Neurospora crassa OR74A: one gene and its partner. The protein of the gene in region 2 interacts with the protein of the main gene of each other region in a biochemical or structural test. Links are inferred from orthologs where the notes say so. Each region holds a gene or a part of one and is shown on either strand. Other genes may lie near its edges. The genes, in order: NCU06617 and NCU10397.

Region 1 (10,408 bases), on a different chromosome or scaffold from region 2:
ATGCGCGGTCTGTTCCTTGCCATCTGCACATCCATCTCACATCCCGTCGTTTCGGGAAATGTGGGAACAACAGACGGCCGTGGAAATTCAGCCGGAGGATAACGGATTGACCGACGGCAGTGAGGTTGAGGACGGACGGTCGAAATCCGAGGTCATCGTTGCCAAGACGAAGTCGTTCCGGTGGACGGCGACGAGCGAGGACTTGGCCGGTCGTTCACACCACGGTCACCAAACAGGTTAAGCTACGTAGAGGTAGGTACAACGCTTCAGGTGCTCAGCATCATGTCAGCATCGCCTACAAAATGCCGAAACGGCGGCTATCGAAATGTACGCACTTTCGATTTCGATCGACTGACCATCCATCCCATTTCCGACCGCCAACTTCCGAGAACCGTTGGGGTGCTGTTGGCGTCGTTACATGTAGCTGTCACAGCCGCAGCCTAGCTAGCCTATGGCCAAGTGGCCGGGGAATTCCCCTTTACCCTACCTTATCTTCTGCCCGGGATGGTACAAGTCGGACCGAGCTTAGCCAGCGCACGTTAGTGTGTTTTGCTAGCCTCTTTGTCTAGGAGCCTCAAACATTGCTCATTTCACGTCTCACATCTTACGCTTTCTCGATAGTGCTTATCAGTCGCAAGGAAAGTTTAGTATACGGACATGAGGATCAACGGGCGGAGTAGTAAGCACCCGGGGGAAAAGAAGAACCAAATGTTAACGTTTGCACTAGTAACGTGGTGTTGCGCCGCCGCCGCTCGATGGGCGCCACGGAGTACGGACTATCACGGGACACCCTCGGTGATATGCACAGCGAGGCTCGCCCATAGAGCCTGACCAATGATGGTGCCTCAAAGCTCTAGCTATGTAACCGGATCCCGAGGTTACTCCAATTGCCAAGAGCATTCTGGGGTCTCTCGGACCTGATGATCTTGGTAGAAGAATCGATGAAACGAGATAGGACGTCGTCGCCGTCGCCGCATGGCCGAATCTACGAACATGGATGGTCCGACGAAGTACCTTTCAAGTACCTTCGCCGTCCAGGGGAGGGTGCCATGCCAGGACCCTGGGAGGTGGACACTCGTGCGGGCGCTTGGTTCCGATCATCGGCCGTGCATATCTGGGGTCGCCTTGCCTAGCCTAAATCTGTCCAGTCTGTTGTGAGTGTCGATGAGCTTGGGAACCAAAGTTGAAAGGTTAATAAGGTGTATGGGGTCGACACGAAGAATCATATTGTCAGAAAAGTCTGGATGTTGATGTTGAGCCTGCTCTCTTGGATGATAGGGAATGGAGAGGACCTGACTGACTCACCGCCGGGAAAAAGGCCTGGACCGGATAGTCATTCCTTCAGATGTCCCAACACGCAGGATAATAAAATAACTCGGCAAAAAAATGAATGAGGATGGTGATGGAAGGGAAAAATGCACATGTCGAATTGGGAAGAGTTGAGCCAACTAGATAACCTCCTCGAAATTGATTTCCTTCTTCTGTTCTATGTGGTAGCACAATATGTTAGCGAACCTGATAGAACAGAAACCGTTGTAGCAACGCGGCGGTAGTTCTTGTGATGCTCTCATCAATTCCTGTTCCTCCTGAAGTGTGCTGCAATATGCTTCATTTTGTGGCAGATCCTCTCTCTCGGTGACGTGGTCTCAACAACTGGACCGCCTTCAGCAGATGGGTCGCCCTAGATAACTCGACCGCACTCAACAGATGACCCTCCATCGGCAATGGAATCTGCCCCAGCAAGAGGGACTTCCCTCAGAAAGGGTGATGCTCAATGGCAGGATCCTCCTCACTCGAGGCGCCCTCAATGACGGGGTCTCGTCCAGCGAAGGAACTTCCCTTCAACAACGGTTCTTCCATAGGTTCAACCAGCCCCAGCTCCATGCAAAACGCATCGGTGGTTGGTTTGCGACCCAGGAACTGCTCAAGTATGAGCATCTCGTCTTGCGACGCGCCCTTTTCGAGAACCGTGTGTCTGAATCGGTGACCTTGAGATTTATCCATCGGATCTTTAGCAAAGGCGAAGTAAAACATGTCGTAGGAGTAGGTGTTAGACCAATGGTAACTGTATAATCCGGCATCGTAAGCATAAAACAGATGCTGAAGATTGCCATGCCCATGCGTCCTACCATGAACTGTCAGATACCTACCAAGATACGAAGGAAGTAATGAGGTTGACAGCATTAGAGCTTACATCGGTTCACCAATAGCTTCGGGTCCCTTCATTCCTGTTAGTTCGTTTCTCAATTCGTTGTATCGCTTGGTAAAGTCCATGTTTTCAAGGGCAGCGCGTGATTTGGGCGAATGAACCTCCATGTCAAAAATCGCGGATGATAACTGCCACAAGTTCCTCAACGCCTGAAGGAAATGTCTGCTTGCCGCAATCCGCTCGGCCATGTCGTCAGACATCTGCTCGCCTGTTAAATAATGTTTGCTGATGCGTTTGATATACTCGGCTCTCCATGTCCAATGTTCAAGCATCTGGCTAGGGGCTTCGACAAAGTCTCGCTTGCCTGCTGTCCCGTGATGACGAGAGAAGCGAGTGCGTGAAACCAGAGAGTGAATCCCATGTCCCAATTCATGAAATAGGTCAACAATATGTTCGTGGTCAAGGAGTGACGGTTTGTCCTTGGTTGGCGCAGGGAAGTTGCAAACAATAGCCGTGGATGGGTAAAACCTCGTACCGTCCGTTCTCTGGTGCCCAAGTTCCAGGGGGAAATTTGCTACGTGTCTGTATTTGCCCTCGCGTGGATGGGCGTCGATGTAAAGGTATCCCAGAAAGTCATTACCCTCGGATTCGTCATTCCACACACTAAACATGATAGTGTCCCTGTGATACATGACATCATCGGCGACGCCAGTAGGGGAGATACGCTCAAGATCCTCTGCGGTCAACCTAACGAAAACGATGCCAAAGAGCACCCCAAAGAGGCGGAGCATGCCTGTGATTGCGGAATCGATCGGGAAGTATTCGGCAACCTTCTTGTTGTCAAGGTCATGTTCTTGCTTGGAAATTTGGGAGGCGTAGAAAGCCCAGTCCCAGTGATAGAAACTGCCATCAAACGGCAAGTTTCGAGTCTCGCAGTCCTTCTTCTTAGTTTGTAGTAGTTGGTTGAGCTCTTTGGTGGCAAGGGGTGCAAGGCGGGTTCGTAAGTCATTCAGCAAGTTGTTGACAGCCCTAGGTGTCTTCGCCATTCGGCTTTCAATCCTCAATGTGGCATGATCTGGGTAACCCAAGAGGCGAGCAGCCTCGTCTCGGAGAAGCATGGCTTCTTTAAAGAGCGGGACGTTTTCTGGGCACTAACGGGGCATTGTCAGTAGGCTTTTGTAAGCATCAGTAACCACTTACCATGTACAGCGTACTTTGTTCTCCATGGCAGTCCACATGCGCTTTCGAGCCTCCGAGTTCTTGACGTCTCTGAGAAAGATGTCGTAATGACTGGGGTCGAAGGTGACCTTAAGTCTGCCTTCATTCTCGCCCGTTCCCTTCGCCAACTGGTCAATAATATCGTTGTCCATGCCATCCAACTCTGCAGGGGTAAACCAGTTGCAGCCTTTATCAGAAGCGTGGTGGTTCTTGAACTCGCTCTTGATTGCCTCCACGCGCTTTTGAATTTGATTGAAGCGATCACGCTGGGGTTTGGACGGTAAACCCAATCCTAACCTGATTGCCTCTTTCCACTCTTCCTCCAGAGCGATAGCACTCTCAGCATCCTCAAAACCTGCATTCTTTGCAATGTCCTCGGTTATGTACCGAGCGGAATTCTGTTTCCTACTTGCCGCGAGACCAGATTTGTGATACAGGACTTCTCTCGCACGGAAGACGTCCCCGCGCATGTTCATGTCCGTCCAGATGTTATCGTACCATTTTGCCATTTTGCGAGTGGTCTCCCGCAAATCGCTGTTCTCAGAAACGTGCTGGTAAAAGCGCAAGTTGTGCGAGAACTTTTGATTCTCAAACTCGAGTTGGGGGCGCATGACGTTCTCAAATGTGACAGTCTGCGGGTCACTCAGGTTGACATCGGCTACGATCGCATCTAGCGCAGCACGGTGTTTGTCGGCCCATGCTTCGAAGGCGGCAGTAACGCTTTCTGGGGTATGGTTTCGGAGCCCTGGGGGCTGGGGTGGGTTGTCGTACATTCCTGTCATGGCGTTTCGTAGGCGTGAGTCGTGAGATGAAGTCAGGGTCGGTGACGATAGCTGAACGAGTTTCTCCTGTCCCTTCCCAGGTGCTGATGATGATAGAAAGAAAATGGTCGATAACGTGGCGAGATGTTGTGCTTATATGTCCAGTGCGATAGATCCAAGCAACTCCCAAGATACCTCCACATCCAAACGTGAATCACCCATTCGAAGCCATTGTTGGAGCATGTCCCACCCATCCAGATGGTGCCTGTCTTCGTTATGATTGTCTGTCGTTTGCGTGAATTTCGAAATTTGCTCAGTGGTCATCATCGATTTTGATGTTGTTGAGGGCAAACAGATGTCGTCCGCGGCTTGTATGTTTGAGTGTCGTCCGTCGTCGAGGTCGTCGTGATTGTTGGTAGATATCGGTTTGGCTGTCGAACAGACAAGAGGCGGCAACGTAGTTCCCCGTTGAAATTTTGATCAGAAAATTTCTCGCCAAATTGCGTGATCAGTCAAGAAAATGCCCAGCCTTGCAAATACGGGATAGAGATGGTGTCATTTAGGACAGTTCCTTCAGTTCTTCACTACTTAGCCGAGGGAAAAGAAGGCACGGGTGATGGCCGTCAGCGGAGGACAGGGGCTCCATAATTGACAAGACCGATGCAAGCCGCTGGGGAAATGTCCAAGATGTCCGGCTTCCGCGACCGGACATTGTAAGTTACCAGTCTACTGCAGGAACATTACATAGATGCTTTAGATAATGCAGTATTTGAGTACTGGTTACCCCCTCTCTGGTCATCCAACACAGGAATTAACATCTCCAAAGATACCGCCAAGTGATACACCTTGCTTCCACTTCCTGACCGTACCCAGACTGAAGGCCGGAAAAGGGACATCGGAATCCCCACATCCCCTTTGAGCCCGAATTCGAAGGAAGACGGAAACGTGTTTGGCCTTGTTTCCAGTGACTATACAAACTCCAGGGCCTTGTTTTCTCATATTCATCCTTTGTGATGTTTCATGTCATTTGCCTTACCCGAAGCAAACTGACAGGGTCGAGCCCTTTTTCGAGTAGAGCGAAAAGGGATTCATGACGAATATTGTACTGCTGAGTACTGGGCAAACAACGTATACTTGGAAACACGCCTCCGTCACGCAAGAGAAGGGGACGGAAGAAAGATCAGGCGTGGAACCCAATCTAGCGTAGTTGGTTAAGACACACGTCCGGAAAGCCTTTCAGTTCCCGGTAAATGATATGTCCAAATTCATATCTTATCAAGACTCCGACGCCTGCCTGGATTATAACACATGCGATTTCCCTGTAATAGATGGTATATGACGCCTTCTCCGTGGACGGATTTGTCCCGCGATTTCTATTCGACTATGCCCCATGATGTTTGACCTCCAAACCCAGTTTCCCTCGTCATCATTCCGTACCACCTCTACTCAATATTTTAGTTGGCAAGGATGGTCCGGACAAGCTCTGTTTGCGTCGTACACATATTGTTAGTCGAGACTCCTAGGTTTCACGCAAAGGGCAAGCAAACAGCAAGTGCTGAGGCTGACATACCGGTATAGTTCACCTGGCCGGAGCTAGTATCAACGGCCTTGAGGAGCTCGTCTACCTCCTCGTCCGTCATCTTCTCGCCAAGGTTTGTCAAGATGTACTTGAGCTGTCCAACGCCGATGAAACCCGTCATGTCCTTATCAAACACCTGGAAACCGCGGCAGTACTCTTCGGGCTCGCCGGGATCACGGAAGCCACCTGGCCGGTTGAGGACGCGCTGGAAGGTCTCGAAGTCGACTGTCGGATGAGAAGGGCATCTGTTAGTAACTAATCTCAGATGAACTACTTGTTTCCGCTCGGGTATTACTCACAATCACCACCAACGTTCTTCTCGAGCTCGCGGATCTCGGCGAGCGTGGGGTTCTGGCCGCAAGCGCGGAGCAGGTCACCCAAGCTGTCGAGGGCAACACGGCCGTTGCCGCGCTTGTCGAACAGGGAGAACGCCTCCTTGTAGTTGGTAGAAGCCTGACCGTCGAACTGGTTAGATGCCATGATTCCTGAGTTGCGCTGTCGCAATGAAATGTTCTTTCAAGAATGCGGGTATGTAGTAAATCGCGGTAGGTTGAGCGTAAGCAAAAGCGCTGGCTTTGCGATCGTGCTAGAGTCGGCAATCGAGAGGACGAGGGCGATGGTTGCGAGAACAAGGCGCAGAAACCCAAGCGGCAAGGGAGCAGCGATGCGATCGAAAGTTGGCAAAATGAATGGTGTTTTTTTGGTCTGTGATGGATGGATGCCGAAGCAGGACCTGGCAGCTCAACGCTCAAGCCGGGCGCAGGCGCAGGCGCATTTTACAGGTAGTGCTCCGATTCAACGCAGAACGCTGCGGCTTCCAAGGTTGTGGCACCTTGTGCCTTTGTTGTCATGGGCAACCGCGGGGTTCCTGGCTCTTGCTTTCGCATGCTTTCTGTTTCCGTGCGTCGGGGTTGGGACTTGGGATGGAGGGATGGAGAGGGGCGCGCGCGCGTGCCAGTGCCCGCGGCGGATGAACAGGGACAGGTCCACTTACCATTGTGTCTCAGGGGGGGGAATGTCGTTTGAATGCGCAAAAGAGGACGCAAGGGCTAGTCGATGCAAGTACGCTGGCTGATGGATTCGATGCGAAAGATGATGCTATTCAGAAGAACGGTCAAGAAGCGAACCAAGGCTAGATGCAAAAGGAGTGGGCGATCGATTTGGGCTTCCCTTCCCGCCGCGAAATGAGCTGCGGACAGGGAGTTGCGCTGACTGGTCTGTGCCATTACGCAGTACCCGACCTTATGCGCCCGCATCCCGGTCGCGGTGGCAGCCAATGGAGGGCAACCACCCACTGGCACTGGTGACAACTCGCGATACAGCAGCACTGCATGCCCGCTAGCTCAATCGAGAGAGACATCTACTGACAGAGAGCACCTTGGTTACGCAAGGGGGCCGGTGATACTGCCCGGATAGCAGGTTCAACGTCAGCCACCACCACTGTACAGTATCGTCTCTTCACCACACTTAATTGTACACTACCTTTCCAGTTCATCGTCTCTTCGCCATCAACAAAACGGTTCCCCAAATAGCATCAACCTCGATTTCGGCCCATCGATCCCCCGCCGCTTTCCATTCCGGCACCGCAGCAACAACCTCGTCAAACATCAAGTCAACAATGTCGCCCTCTCCTCCGTCCGCCCTGCACTTCATCTGGGGATGGGCGCTTCCCCAACCACTGAAGGCACTGAACGTGCGAATATAGCTCGCCAACTCGCCCAACTTGAGCCTCCGACGCAACCAAGTGGCCTCTTCCGGAGCATCGCTAATGTCGCCCGTCTCACGATTGGGATCCCAAGCAATACGGACCACATGTTCCCATTCCCTCTCGGGAGGGACCACCTCCCGCAGTGAATCCCGTAATATGTTCCGGCCGGGTTGTTCCCAAAAGCACATCATGCTTTCCACGCCCGGCACCGGCTCTGTCTCGCCGTAGATGAACCTGTCAAAGATGGGCGTTGTTTCCGGCCGCCCAACGATGATGTGGTCCTTGTAACCCCAGAAAGCCAGGGTTCCGCCGCGCTTCACGACCCGTGCAAGTGCTGGCCAGACCTTGGAGTAGTCAAACCAATGCGCCGCTTGGCCAGCAACCACACAGTCAACGGCATTGTCGTCAAGGAAAGAAAGGTCCTCGGCTCCGCCTTGCTTGAACGTAATCTTGGAGTTGTCGCCGGTTAGCTTGCGAGCCTGTTCAATCATGCCGGCCGAAGGATCAAGGGCGATAACACGGTTGAAATAGGGAGCGAGTGCGCGCGCCACTAAGCCATGTCCGCAGCCAAGGTCTAGCAGTGTTCCAGCTGCCGGCGAAGACGACGATGGTGATGGGGAGGAAGGGGCCTCTTTGCCGTGAAATCTCAACACCCGGTCGTAAAGAACCGAGGGATATGAGGGCCGAAAGGCAGCATACCCAGCAGAGGAGAACGTCGAGCGGCTATCGTGGAAACATGTCAATGATTACAGTAAGCAATGCGCCAATGCTGTCAGTAGGCAAGTATGTAAACAAGAGGTGGAGACTTACCCGAAGATGGACATTCTCAAAGACCACCCAAACAAACGCACCAAATCACAAACAGTGGATCCAAATTAACTCCGAGTGGTCAGTAAGATAGTCCGTTGTGGAATTCTGTGCCTGATGTTGTGATACCAATATTGTCTGGGGAAACAGGCAAGCTGAATTCTCCCGTCAACGGCACAAGGCTTTTTATATCCAATACCGAGGCGTTGAGACGGCTCATGGATGGCGACATCCTTATCATCCTTCCTTGGCTCGCTCCTCCCAGGCATCACCCGCGCCGGCATTCCGAATGATCCTTTGGTTCTCTGAACAAGTGACTGATCGCCGAAGTTCACGGATCCGACGATTTCCGTCGAAGCCTCGGTTGCGTTACATCACCTGACCTTGATTCACCGAACAGCAACTGCGACATTGGAACAATTCCAAATCAGGAACGGGCATTCGATGAAAGATGTCGCCATTGGATAGATGTCGATAATCCAATACCCGAAGATATGCAGTTACACAAGAAACCATCAGGATCAATTACTGATTACATAGTTGTGGTGGGGGCTGAGCGCACCAACATCACAGGTACCCCTACGGCACGCGGTGGGCACGTCATCGGGGTCCTCGTAGATAGCGCGGGGTTGCCTGGGATATGGCTGTTTGAGTGGTTAGCTTCCTACGGGATCTGCTCAGGGGCCCAGGGGGCGTAGACACGGGAAAATAGCATCACCTCGACGGCGAGGTCAACTAACTCCATCAACACCCGAATGTCGCCATGGAGACATGTCCTAGAATAGAGTGGGCAACTTGACAACCTAAGCTCACCTTGGTGCAACTTTGATTATTTGTCAGGGAACTAGTCTTTCCGGCAAACATATAAACCGACCTTATGTCCCTGATATCGCAGTCTCCTTTTGTGTTTCTAAAACACATCCTCAAACCTAGCACAAGATATCCAGCCCGCTTTCAACAGCATCTACCACACTATATCACCCCAAGCTATCAACAACACCACTTCTTTACGTCAACACCAAACCTCAAAATGTCCGCCAGCGACGCAACGGCCAAGATCTTCTTCTCCTCCCCCAGGTTCGCCGTAGTCGGCGCCAGCACTAACACGGAGAAGTTCGGTTACAAAGGTTCGTTTCGTCCTTTCTTCTCCCGTGTCCCCATCCATCCCTTACCCACAACCTCCACCCACATTATCCACACACCACTAACACCTATCCAGTCTTCAAATGGTATGCAGACCGTGACCTCCCCGCCACGCCCATCAACCCCCAGGGCGCCACCCTCACTGTCAACGGGCAACCCTACCCAGCCATCAAGTCCCTCTCGGAGCTCGAGAACCCCAAGGAGACGTCGGTTTCTATCATTACCGGTCCCGCCATCACGCTCAAGACGCTCCAGGAGGCCAAGGAGCTCGGCGTGCCTGCTGTCTGGCTCCAGCCGGGAACTTTCAATGATGAGGTATTGGCATATGCGAATGAGAATTTCCAGGCGGTCGTGGCTGGGAAGGGAGGCTGGGGAGGGGAGGGGTGGTGTGTGTTGGTTGATGGGGAGAGAAGTTTGGCTGCTGCTAGTAGACTCTAGGTTGAAGCAGGTGTCAGGTCGGGTTGTGAAGAGTTGATAGGGAGGTTGAATGGTCTTTATGAGGATTTGATGATCTCTAACATTTGTCAGTTTCTGTGTGTCTGGTTATGAGGTTTGGGCCTGGCTACATATATATTTATATGTACAATTCATCACTGGTTTATTTGCTTGTCGAAACCTACGCTTAACGTTCCTAGGCGTTGCCACATCCATTACCTGTTCTTTCTGATCATGGCACTCCCGATCTTGAATATTGCAGCTTGGGTCTTGAAAGTTGAAACATTCTGTTCAGGTAACATCTAGACCCTTTCAGGTACCCTTACCATTCCCACCAACCCATCGTAACGCTCTAGTTGTACTTTCCCGATTTTACAATCAGATGCCTCAAGTTCCTACATCTGTTCAACTATACCTTTTGAGCAAAGTCTCGAATTCGTTTCGTCTCAATTCCTAAGAAACAAAAAGAAAGACATGAGAGGCGGTTTCCACAATGGAATCAGAAAAAATAGCAAAAGATTAGTGACAAGAGTGGGATTCGAACCCACGCCCTTTCGGACTGCGATACTCAGATATCCTGAACACAGCGCCTTAGACCGCTCGGCCAT
Region 2 (11,397 bases):
TTTACTATACACACCCGACAATCTACACCTGCACGAAACTGACAACATGGCCAACCAATTTCTGTTTCTTCACATCGCGATTCAACAGAATATCTTGTTCATGAATAGATTCGCTGTCTCGTCCCCTCGGGGTCAACCGGACCAGGAAATCCCCAAGGCTTTTGTGACGAAAGCAGGCGCCAAAGCATTCGCTGCTGCTAACAGGGTATCAGAGCTGTTGAAGGATGCTGAATCACACTTTGTGACTGCGCCCTTTACAGGATATTGTGCCTTCCTGTCCAGTACCGTGCACATCTTTGGAATTTTTTCGGGTAACCCAACGCTAGAGGCAACATCGAAGCGCAACCTGGCTACCAACGTCAAGTTCCTATCCAAGATGAAGAAGTACTGGGGCATGTTCCACTGGATGTCAGAGAACCTACGGGAGCAGTACCGGACCTGTGCCGATGCTGCCAGGCAGGGTACACCCGCAAACGAGAACCCGACATCCATCTTCCAATACGGCGACTGGTTTGACCGTTATCCCCACGGTGTCTCGCAGTCCGACTTTCTCGACCCCGCCATCTACAAGAAGAAGGAGAAAGGCGACGATGCAGTTCTGGAACAGAAGCCCGAGCTGCACACAGTCGAGGAGTTCTTCACCACGCTCTCCCCACAAGCTGGCGGCGGGGACGGGGGTAGCGTGAACGGATCAACAGCATCACGACAGCAGCAACAAGCCCAACAACAACAACAACTCAAACGCAAAGCCATGACACGCAAAATCAGCGGCCTACCACAGCAGAACCATCCCAACGGCCCCGACCCCATACAAGCCGAATTCTCCCCACATCAACAACAACACCCTCCACCAACCGCCGAACAAATCCACGCTGCTCGCCTGCAACACCAACGCAATTTCTCCGGCGCCGGCCCCTCACCCATCCAAACCAGCGGTCCACCCGGTTCTTTCAACTCCCTCTCCGTCCAAGCTCAACAACAAGCGCACTTCTCCCCCGTCTCCCCCGTCGGTGTCTCCCACGCCCACCTTTCCCACCACCACCCTGGCTCCTTCTTCCCTCCCGACCCCTTCTCTCTCCCCGCCCACCTCGGCGCCGCTCACGCCCACGGCATGAGCCACCTGGACCGCCAGCTCGTCTTTGGCGCTTACGGCGGTCCCACATCTGCCGGCTTACACCATGAGCCAGGGCTGGTAGGCGGCGGCGGCGGCGGCAGTGGTGGTGGTGGCGCTGGGGGTTGGGGAGGGGGGCATGATAGTGAGAATGGGAGGGATGGGCCAGACGGGTTACATGCAGCGTTCTCGAACGAGCCGAGCTCGGCGTGGTTCATGCCGTTTAATATGGAACCGCCGGAGATTGGGGGGGATACGCTGGGCGGTCTTGGAGGAGCATTAGGCGGTGGGGGGTTGGATAGTTTTGCCGGGATGTTTGGGGTGGGTGCTGGCGGAGGTGGTGGCGGTGGTGGTGGTGGGGGAATGGGAGGGATGCATCATGGGCATTAAGCGGGGGGGGGGAAACGGTTTCCTTTTTCTAGAAAGGATGATGAGTTATGAGTGATACAGGATGGGGATACCGGTCAATTTTGGATAACGGTCGGTCATCTGGATATTGGGACGAACAACAACAACGATCGATGCCACTAGTAGTGTGATGTATACATGATACCTTTTCTTTATTTTATCATAATTAGTTTCTTTTTATCACGTCGGGTGTTTCAACAGACATAGGCGGAAGCAAGCGATCAAAGAAGAGCGAGCGGATAGGTCTCTTTTTTGCAATCCCCCTTTTTTTTTCTTCTTCTTTATGTTTTCAACTACATAACCATCTTTTCCACATAGGGTGTGTCGGAAGGCCAATTCGGGAGGGGTTGGGGGGTTCGGGGGCGTAGGGGCATAGGGGCATAGGGGCACGATAGGGCGGGCGGGCGTATCAGGATTAATACAATACCACAAAGACAGAACAGAACAGAACAGACGTACGTGGAGTTTAATACTGCTTTGAACAAACATGTCACAGGTTGCTCAACTGTGACATTAGCTACCTATATAAGCGTGCATTAGATGTTCTCTCCAGCCAACAAAACATTCTTCCATCTATCTTTTGGTGGTTAGGCGAATTGGCATTTGCACGCCCTTTTGCGCTTTGACAAACCAGCTCGAGTAAGTATGGTATGGTATCATGAAAAAAAGAAATCCACTTTTTTGCCTATGTACCATTCTAGTCTAGTCGGTCGTCTGATGCAGGTGGATGGATTTAAATTGTCAACTTAAACTTTACTGACTATTTTCTGACCTTGAACCTGTTCGGTGAGTCCAGCATAGTGCGTAAAGAAGGATGGAGGAAAACCAATAAAGCGGAAAGAAAAAAAAGGAAAGGAGAGGAAAGAGTAAGTGGGAGAAGAAGATAGAATGCAAGAAGTGGAAACAAAACAAGCAAGCTGCCATTCGCACCTTGTTTTTTTTTTTTTTCAGTAATTCTTTTTTTATCTTTATTTTTTTTTCTATCTTGGTGATACACGACTAACTCCCGTATCTCGGAAACGGAGAGAGAGAGAGAGAGAGAGAGAGAGAGAGAGAGAGAGAGAGAGAGAGAGAGAGAGAGAGAGAGAGAGAGAGAGAGAGAGAGAGAGAGAGAGAGAGGAAGCAGACGATGTAGTAACATCCGAAGTTATGGAGGTACGAAACGAACGGGGAAACGAACGAACGGGAAAAGACCATGAAGTGACGGAGAAAGTGAGCAAAGGAGTCAAGGCAACAAAAAACTCAAAGACAACAAACCAAACAGAAAATCCAAAAAAAATTGGTAAACACATGGATGCCGCTTATAGAATAGTAACTAGTATGATAAGACACTATCATAATCCATAAAAGCCTCTATGGTGGTACCCATTATAAACGCCGCCGAGATGCCCTTTCTTGAATTGATTGAACTTTCCCCTTCCAAAATTCAACACCTTCTTCTCCGCTCTTCGCTCGCCTTCTTCGTTATGGAGTTTGCCGTGCTTTGACATCGGGAATTCCCACCGTGTGATATATACGTTTAGATCCTCCCATGCCCTCCTCATACAAAAACGAAGGGGTATTTCCACCTTGTCTCCTCCATTCATCCATCCCATTACCGATACGTTCTTTCATCCGTCCGACCTTTCCATTCATTCCTCTCCAAATTTCTTTCGTCCCTCCTCCCCATCTGCGTCTCCTGTTTCAGGTGATATCCCATACACGGGACTAATCGCCCTTGTAGATCCTGCAAATCTGTCTAGTAGATACCCTGTGTTCTATACTGGAAAGTGTCGTAACTGTTTAAGGCCTTTTGTTAGCATACCCATTCCAATCGGATCAAGTATTGTCCCGAACAACTTACAGTCGCGTATAATAACTTCCCAACGACTTGGCAATTAGATCCGTCTCCACAAACTGTTCCGCCTCGTCTTTACTCAGCTGCAGCTGGAACCTTGCCCTGAGCGAGGTCGTTACCTGCGAGATGCCCGCACCAAAGCAAGGCATCTTGGATTCTCGACCCATCATGGCGACGAGGTCGATGATGTTGTCTGCTGAACGACGGAGGGCTATAACAGTCGTTAGTTATTTATGCCTGGTACGAGTGATGAGAGAGAGAGAACCTACCCTGGAAAGCCTGTTTGCAGAGTTGCTTAAAGTCTGCAAAATCCTGCGAGTCCACGCCACCCAGCACATCCAGATATTCATATGTAAACTTGAACGGCGCCGCCTCGAACCCAACCGAACCGGGCGAGTTTGACAGCATGAAGCCAAAGTCAATGTGAATGATGTGCCCCTCATTATCGATAAGGACGTTACCGTTGTGCCTATCCTTCAGCTGCAGCACATATGAGATGATGCTATACGCCGCCAGTGACCTCTTGAACGCGTCCACAGCTGACCTGTACGCCTGGCTCTCGGGCAAACCGAACGCCTTGACGAAATGATCCTTGAGCGTCGCGATCCTCCTCCTAGGGTTTTGACCGGACTCGACCGTGGCCAGTGTCAAGCTGCGCTTGATGGAGTGCAGCGACACGCCGTTGGCAATGGTCTCTATCAGACCGCACGACTCGCCCGTAACAAGAATGCGCATGAGCTTCACCCAGACGGGCACGTTGTGCTCTACCCAGATCTTGTGGCACACGCGGATCAGCTGGCAGGCGAATGCCTCCTGACGGAGATCCGCACCCGTTTTGACAATGACGCTGACGAGATCCCAGTTCTTCATCCAGCCGTAAGGAGAGGACTTGCGGATACGCTCCTTCTTCATCTCCCAAGCTTCTCCGAAGACGGCAGCGCTGGGATCATCACGATCGCCCTTGCGCTGGAGACCGCCTGTCTTGATATCGTTTTCCATCCTTGCTAGACCGGCGTTTGGATTCACGTTAGACTCGACCTTCTCCAGGGGAGCCTCGATTTCTTCGTCCGTGGCGACATTGCCGTTGATAACGTTTTCTGCACTGGCCTTGGCCATAATCATGTCGAAGGTCGGCCCTTGGCTATCATGGACTTCAAAACTCTCCTCCTCCAGACTCTGCATGCTGGCAATAATCTTTGCCCTGATTGCGGCCACTTCATGACGCGGCCGCTTGCCACTTGTTGCATCCAACTGCGCCAACATTTGCGAGGCTGTCCGCATATGGATGGCAAGGGCAGAGAAATCAGGTTGGTCGGCGGCCGCGTTGTTGCGCGGACTTTGGAGGGTCATCCTCCTGAAAGGTGGGGTAGAGGATCCCGAAGTGCCAGAACTGCGAGGCGTTGACGTCAGATCAACAAATTGTGTCGAGCTGGTCCCAGTAGTGGCAGCATGGCGGAGACCGCCAGGAACGGGGTTATGCTGTATGGCAAAGGGCTCGTCGTTGAACGGTTTTATTAGTGGCGAGTGCCCTAGATCCCCCGAGGAAGGCTCAAAAACACTATCGATGACGGGCTCCTGTGAACGGGGTGTGGCTGGTATCCTAGAAGACTCGGAAAGGTCAAAAATCCGCCTCCTGGTTCCTTGTTCGACCAAAAGCTGTGTCAGAAGTCTCTGATTATCTTGAGAATCCGGGTCAAATGTGAGATCTTCTCTCAAAATCTCAACCATAAGCAGGAAAGGCACTTTCTCAGCACTGTTCAGTACCGTGGCCTCAGCCGGGTTGAGACGGACTATCCTGTGATGTCGGCTCTGCGAAGGAGAGCCGTTGACCAAAGTAGGAGGGCAGATGACTGGGATATCGACCTCGGCCGGGAGTTCTTGAGCGATTAGAGCCAGCTCAGCGCGTAGGGCACTTAGGCGTGCAGCCTTTGGTACTATTACTAGTCGGTTTGAAATATCCTCTAGTGCGGTCAGGAATGCTGTTTGGCAGTGGAAGTAGTTTTGTTTTAGTAGCCGCATCTTTTGTGTGCGGCTCATGTCCGCTTGGTTCAAGAGCGTCTTGACATGGTGCGAGTGCCTCCTGTTCACTCCAGTCGTTGGCCGCAGGGCCGGAGTGGTCGGCCTGTGTACAAGACCTGGAGAATTGGCATTCGACGTTGGTAGAGGCAGTGAAGATGAACTAAGGCGCGCCTCCAAGACGTTGGAATCGAAAGGAGTAGGTCGCTTGGTCTCTACCGGCGTTTTGATAGAAGACCCCGAAGACGTCGGCCGGGAGTCAGGCTGAGGTTCCTTGATCTTGGGCTTGGGGCGATGCGCCACCGGGCTGCTGTTGTTGCTCTGGAGCTGATGGTCCGATGAGCTTGTAAGGCGGGCCTCCTTTGCCCGTCTCGATTTTGTTGTACCAGCAGTGACGGTATGCGCGCGAGCAGGTGGGGCGGCGTTGACGGGAGTAGCGTCCAACACAGGTTCGATGACTTGAGGGCGGGGCTTTCTGGCTTGCGCGACGGCAAGCGGGCCAGCCCAATGGGGGAGAAACGGGGCGGCGATACTGGCGAGAACGAAGCTCCCTAGGACAGTCACTGGCAAAGCGTTTTCCGTAATCTTCTCGTTCCTTGCACTGTCGGAGACGCCAAAGACGATATGCTGCACCTTGTTGTACACTCTCTGGCATATTTTGAAGGCATTGGCCTGTGGATTAGCGGATAGGTCGTGTAGGTATGTTTGGAAGAGCCAGAATGTCTGCGAGCGGGCGAGATATCAGCAATTCGGAGTCGTGCAAAGCGTCAGATGGTGTATAGAGGGCTGCGCACCAACAAGGCTGCTGTGACCGACTCCTCGCACAGGTCGAGGAGAAACTCCTCCAGGGCCATGGACTCATTGTCGATGCTGATGATAAGGTGACAGAGCTGAGGGAGGAAGAACTCGATGTCCTCGTAGGGGAACTGGCGCAGCTTGCTGCACAGCACATAGTGAATTCCTATGTGGTCGGCATATCGTCTGGCGGTGCGGTCATGTTAGTGTGTGTCTTGCCAGGCCAGTACTGATACGCGCCGCGCCGAGTGAGGAGGAGAGAAAGAGGAGGAGGAGGAGGAGGGGGAGGAGGAGGAGGAGGAGGGGTAGCGAATCTTGGCAAAACGGAATGGCTGACTGACGAGAGGTAGGAGACGGAGAGAAAGGGGTTTTGGTTGAAGACGTCGCTCTCGAGGAACCGCTTTAACAAGTCCCAAGACATTGGTTATGGCGCAACGAGGGTCGACCGCAGATCGACTCGGGGATTATGGGAGGAAAGAGTCAATGTCGGGCTGGCGAGGCTGAAGTGGTGAAGCGAGGCGTAGGCGTAGGTGGGAGAATCGAGCAGCTAGGTAGGTACACTCAGTCTAGACGGAAGCTAACTTGGAACTGGAGCTGGCTGGCTGGCTGGCTGGAGAATGGACGGATACAGAGGGCAGCAAGGCATGCATGCGCAAGCAATGCCTTCATCGGACTTGAACATGAACGGAGTCGACGGCGTAGGGCTGCTGGAGCATGGCTGACGGGGCCGGGCGCGCTTAGGTCGTTACTCGTTATGGTGTTGACAAGTGAGACTGAAATGTGGTGGTGGTGGTGGTGGTGGTAGAGGTAGTATTCCCAAGAAGGACACCAAAACCACTTCCTCTCGCTCGCCAGGGTGCCCGGGTGGTGTCAAGTGGTGTTCCGAAGGTGGAGGTTGGCCGTCACTGCTGTCAGGGGGGGGGGGGGGGGGCCGCAGTCCACTGAAAGGAATAATTGTTCGATACAACAACACCCGCTCGCACGGCACATTGAACGGGACCTATCCGCTAAGCCCGATGGAGCCCCGCGTCCCGTTCCCCACCTGGCCGACTTGTCCGCCTCGGCTGCAGTGTGTCCGTCCACAGCGCCTTTCCTTTGCCCTGCTACAGGCACTTGGCGTCTGCCAACGACCGCTGAAACAGTGTTCCCATCCGCTCTTGTTTCGTCTTGGCGGTTGGGATTCCCATCAACATGACACCCCAAATCATATCAATGGTCCATCTCGTATTGGGGATTCATGGAAGTGAACACGAAGATCTAACCCACCGGCATGTTGATCAGACACTTAGTGCTAGTTCCACCGGCCAAAGTAGATCGATCCCAGGGCGCTTGCGCCATCCGAAAAAGGGGCTCTGCTCCAAGGGAAAAAAAGATGAAAAAAAAGGGGTAAAAGGACACAGACTCCATCCAAAGTAAACAAATCCCCTTTTATCTTGTTCCTGAAACGAAGACGCGAATCATTGATCTACTATTCTACGTTGTATCTTCTCTACATCGACAAGTGCACACGTCCTATCACCTCCACACAACAGTCGTCCCTCCTCCTCCTCCTCCTCCTCTCCCCCCTCCCCTCCCCCCATTCCTCCTCCCTCTCGCACCACTCCTACCTCCCCTCGGCCTCACCCTCTTATACTTGACCCTCTCACTCCCATCCGGCAACACCACCACCTCGTGCTGTATAGAGAACCCAAACGCCGGCAACACCTTGGCCCAAACCACCCAATACATGACGCCGATAACCAGCATGCCCGTCCCCAGCGCCGGCACCACCGAAAAGTGAACCTTGGTCAGCAGCGTGTTCGGGATAAACGGCGCCGCACAGGTATACAGCAGCCCGACAACCCAAAACACCGTCAGGACGGGATAACTATGGAACCGCTTGTTCTCCGGCGTCGTCCAGTTCTCGCTCGGCGTAAAGTTGAGATACAGCAGCCCCACCCCCAGGAAGACCTTGATCCAGTTGCCCGAGTAGGTAAAAATGTTGGACAGAAACTGGTACACGTCCTTGGTGCTGGATCCGAGGATCAAGGCCACGGTGAAGATCCAATGCAGCAAAATGGCGCCCGTCGGCGACTTTTGCTCGGGCCAGTCGCTCGCCCAGAAGCGCGAGAAGGGGAGAGTGCCTTCCTTTGCGAGCTCCTGCTTCACACGGGGCATGGCGAAGGATTGCGCAAAGACGTTGCCGAGCGCGGAGAGGGCGAGGAAGAGAGGCATGACGCGCTCGGTGAAGGCCGAGGGACCCCAGACGCGGGTGAAGAAGATGGCGGTGGGGACGACGCCGGATTTGGAGAGTTCGTCTTTGGTCATGGCGGCGAACTGTGTGTTGTCAGTCATGGAAGTTCTTGTGAGACACTTGAGGGGATACTCACATAGGCAATGTTCGCCAGGACGTAAAGGACGGTGACCGTCCCGATGGCAATCGGCGCCGCCAGTCTCAACGTCTTCGGCGCATCCCTCACTTCGCTCAACACCTACAAACCCGTTGTTAGCATTACCTCACCAACCCATCACCGCCCACTTCCGAGGGGTCACTCACATAATTGGCATTCTCCCACCCCCCATAACTATACAAAACCTGCAACAACGCCAACGCATACCCCGCCGCACTGCCCGCGACATTATTCCCCATCCCGTCCGTCTGGTCGTCTCCATTCCCCGTGGCATCCCCCGGCCCATCAAAGCTCGAAAAGTTTCTCGGGCTTTCTCCCTCCATATTCCCCGCTAACGCCGCAAACCCCGTACATACCACCAAGATCAGCAGCACCAGCTTGAACACCCCCAAACCATTGGATAGCCAGATGCCCAACCTAGGTAAGAATGCGTGGATGAGGCAGACGGCGGTAATAGCTGCCACGGCGATGCCCCGGTTTAGCCACGTGCCTTCGTATTTGGTTGCATCTTCTTGCGCGGTGCCTCCGGTGGTGGTGGTGTCAGGAGAGCCGAGGACGCAGCGGAGGAGGTACGAGGAAAAGGAAACGGAGCCGACGGTGGAGATGGCGAAGAGGATGAATTGCACGGCGAAGATGCAGGTCGCTAGGTATTTGGGTTTGCGGTAGACGCGTTCGAGGTAAACTTTCTCTCCGCCGGAACGAGGGATGGCGGTGCCGAATTCTAGGTAGACGGCTAGCCCGCTTTTGTGGTTGAGGATGCGAGTTAGCCGCTTTTCGAGTGGTCAAAGTGGTGAAAGTACATAGAGATGGTGTAGGGCAAGGTAAGAAAGGATGATACAAAACTCACCAAAAGGTCATTACACCACCTAACACCCAGAAGAGAAGCGTGGCGCCGACGCTATTGGTGTTGTGGATGATGGAGGATGGCGTTGAGAAGATGCCGGCGCCGACGACGCGGTTAAAAATGAGGAAGGCTGTGGACCATGTTCCTAGTTTTCGCTCTGGGATTGGGTGTTAATGGAAAGTGAAGAAACGTGGAGAGAGGGAGAGCCTTAGGTGAAGAGAGAGGCGAAGAGAAAGGTTGAAGAGAGACAGAAAAGAGATTAGAGAGACTTGGAAGAGACCGAAGAGAGACTCAAAAGACCGAGACGGAAAACGCAGGTCATCAGAAGTCAAACTAACTAACCTTCAGGAAACACATAATCCCTAAAATCCTCCTCCTCCTCTCCCTCCTCACCAACCCGCGACGGACCCCTCCCATTCGCTCCATACTCGGGCATATAAATGGCATCTTCGCCCACCTCCGGATCCTTATCCTTCGAGTGGATGGATTGTTCGAATATCGTTGGTTCGTTCATCTTGAGAGATAGTTCCGCGGTCTTAGTTCCAGTTGATAATGGGGGAACCCCACGGGATGTCCAAATCGATGACCGAAATCGAGGGGAGTGATGATGCGGCTGAACACAATGAACCCAAAAGGCACCACAACCGTAGCGCTTGTGGGGGGGTTGTGTATGCAGTCCAGTCCAGTCCCGTCCCGTCCAGTTTAGTCCGGCTGAGTTATGGGGTGTTGGATGCTCTTCTTCGATTGTTGGTTGACCAGTAACTTGTATAGGTAAGGCGGGTTTTTCCAGAATACCTAGTTTCAGAGTATCTTCACAGAGCCCCGAGGGACGAAAGAAGCATACCTATCCAGGCCTCACCCCATGAACCTCAACCAAGAAATTTCGGTGAGCCTAAGGGGAAGAAAGACAACTGCGTGAGAGGCGTAACTTGACAAGTTCAGGTCAACGTGCGTTACAGAGGTTTGGGTCTCACAACCGCAGACAGACCACCTTGCGCCCGTTCGTTGTGTAGCCCACGGTCAAAACGCATCGAGTAATGGGCGTCTAGTTTAGACCTTGGTGGATGGTGTTAATGAAGACGCTCAAGGAGTGACGGCTGTCAGGGGTGGGGTGGGTAACACATGCCACATAGATCTATCTCACTCGAGGATTGAGGATGGCAAGAAATGGGTAAACGAAGTATTCTCACCTTTACCAATTTTGCCTTCGATACCTCCTTGTGCTCTTGTTTGTCTATAACCTACAATCTTTCAGGTACCGCCCATTTAGATGATCGGATAACTGCAGCTCAGAGCCTTGTTGATGTTACCTACACCGTCATCACACAGCAGTAGCAGTGTTGTTCATTGGCGGTTGATTGGCGAGCGAGGCAGACACAACGCCGCATGAGATCAAGCCAAAAGAAGCATGGAAGTTGCAAAAGAAAGAAAATAAAGAACGAGGCCTTCCTCGTGGCTAGGGGGGCGTGTCTGGCTAGTGTAGTGTAGTATAGTGTAGAGGATTGTCATCGCCGATAACTCACAACACAGCTTTCCCGCCCCATCGCCCTATCCAGTCGCCCTGCCACCGACCGTCGTTATCACAGCGCCAAGTCCCTCCAGTCGCCGAAAGAAGACAAAAGAGGCGTGCAGGACGATGCCCTGGCTCTGCAGTTTGTAAAGTGTGTGTGTGTGTGTGGTGTGGGAGCTGAGAGAGGGGACCCTGCTAGGTACATAGGTAGTGTAGTAGCCGGGCTGGTATCGTTCGTCGTCGTGGTGGTAGCCAAGACAATACCTTCCACTTACCCGAATGGCTGGCTGCGTTACAGACAAGCCTTCATGTTTGCAATCTGGGGTTTCTCAGCGGAAACACTGCGCTTTTCTCGTCCGCTGGTTTCCGTCGGCGTTGTGATTGACAGTGAGTTAGCGACACCATCAGGCAGTAGTGTAAGCTAGGAACACCACAGTTCCGAGTTTGTACCTCCACTACCCGAGGGATCAGGAGCATCGTCAGCCC

The links.
Region 1: the proteins of NCU10397 (region 2) and NCU06617 form a complex in vitro, tested with the Schizosaccharomyces pombe proteins (2 studies listed by BioGRID). The link is inferred for Neurospora crassa OR74A from reciprocal best matches to the Schizosaccharomyces pombe genes pik1 and cdc4.

Annotation. Positions count from the first base shown.
Region 1 is NC_026504.1:1,812,653-1,823,060, reverse strand, and holds NCU06617 (myosin regulatory light chain cdc4), read right to left. Parts: upstream 6,836-10,408; 5' UTR 6,705-6,835; coding exon 6,702-6,704; intron 6,161-6,701; coding exon 6,007-6,160; intron 5,933-6,006; coding exon 5,699-5,932; intron 5,612-5,698; coding exon 5,583-5,611; 3' UTR 5,338-5,582; downstream 1-5,337. Other genes in the region: NCU06618 (metallopeptidase MepB), read right to left, coding at 2,191-3,300, 3,364-4,149; NCU06616 (S-adenosylmethionine-dependent methyltransferase), read right to left, coding at 7,199-8,138, 8,226-8,239; NCU06615 (hypothetical protein), read left to right, coding at 9,100-9,349, 9,442-9,803. UniProt on the Schizosaccharomyces pombe protein: Involved in cytokinesis. Required for the formation and function of the contractile ring.
Region 2 is NC_026503.1:1,281,647-1,293,043, reverse strand, and holds NCU10397 (phosphatidylinositol 4-kinase PIK1a), read right to left. Parts: upstream 7,020-11,397; 5' UTR 6,589-7,019; coding exon 6,509-6,588; intron 6,354-6,508; coding exon 6,167-6,353; intron 6,096-6,166; coding exon 3,626-6,095; intron 3,568-3,625; coding exon 3,363-3,567; intron 3,298-3,362; coding exon 3,258-3,297; 3' UTR 2,796-3,257; downstream 1-2,795. Other genes in the region: vad-3 (zinc finger transcription factor 1), read left to right, coding at 1-1,501; NCU10675 (methionine permease), read right to left, coding at 7,683-8,483, 8,537-8,638, 8,704-9,298, 9,405-9,558, 9,744-9,915. UniProt on the Schizosaccharomyces pombe protein: Acts on phosphatidylinositol (PI) in the first committed step in the production of the second messenger inositol 1,4,5,-trisphosphate. PIK1 is part of a nuclear phosphoinositide cycle and could control cytokinesis through the actin cytoskeleton.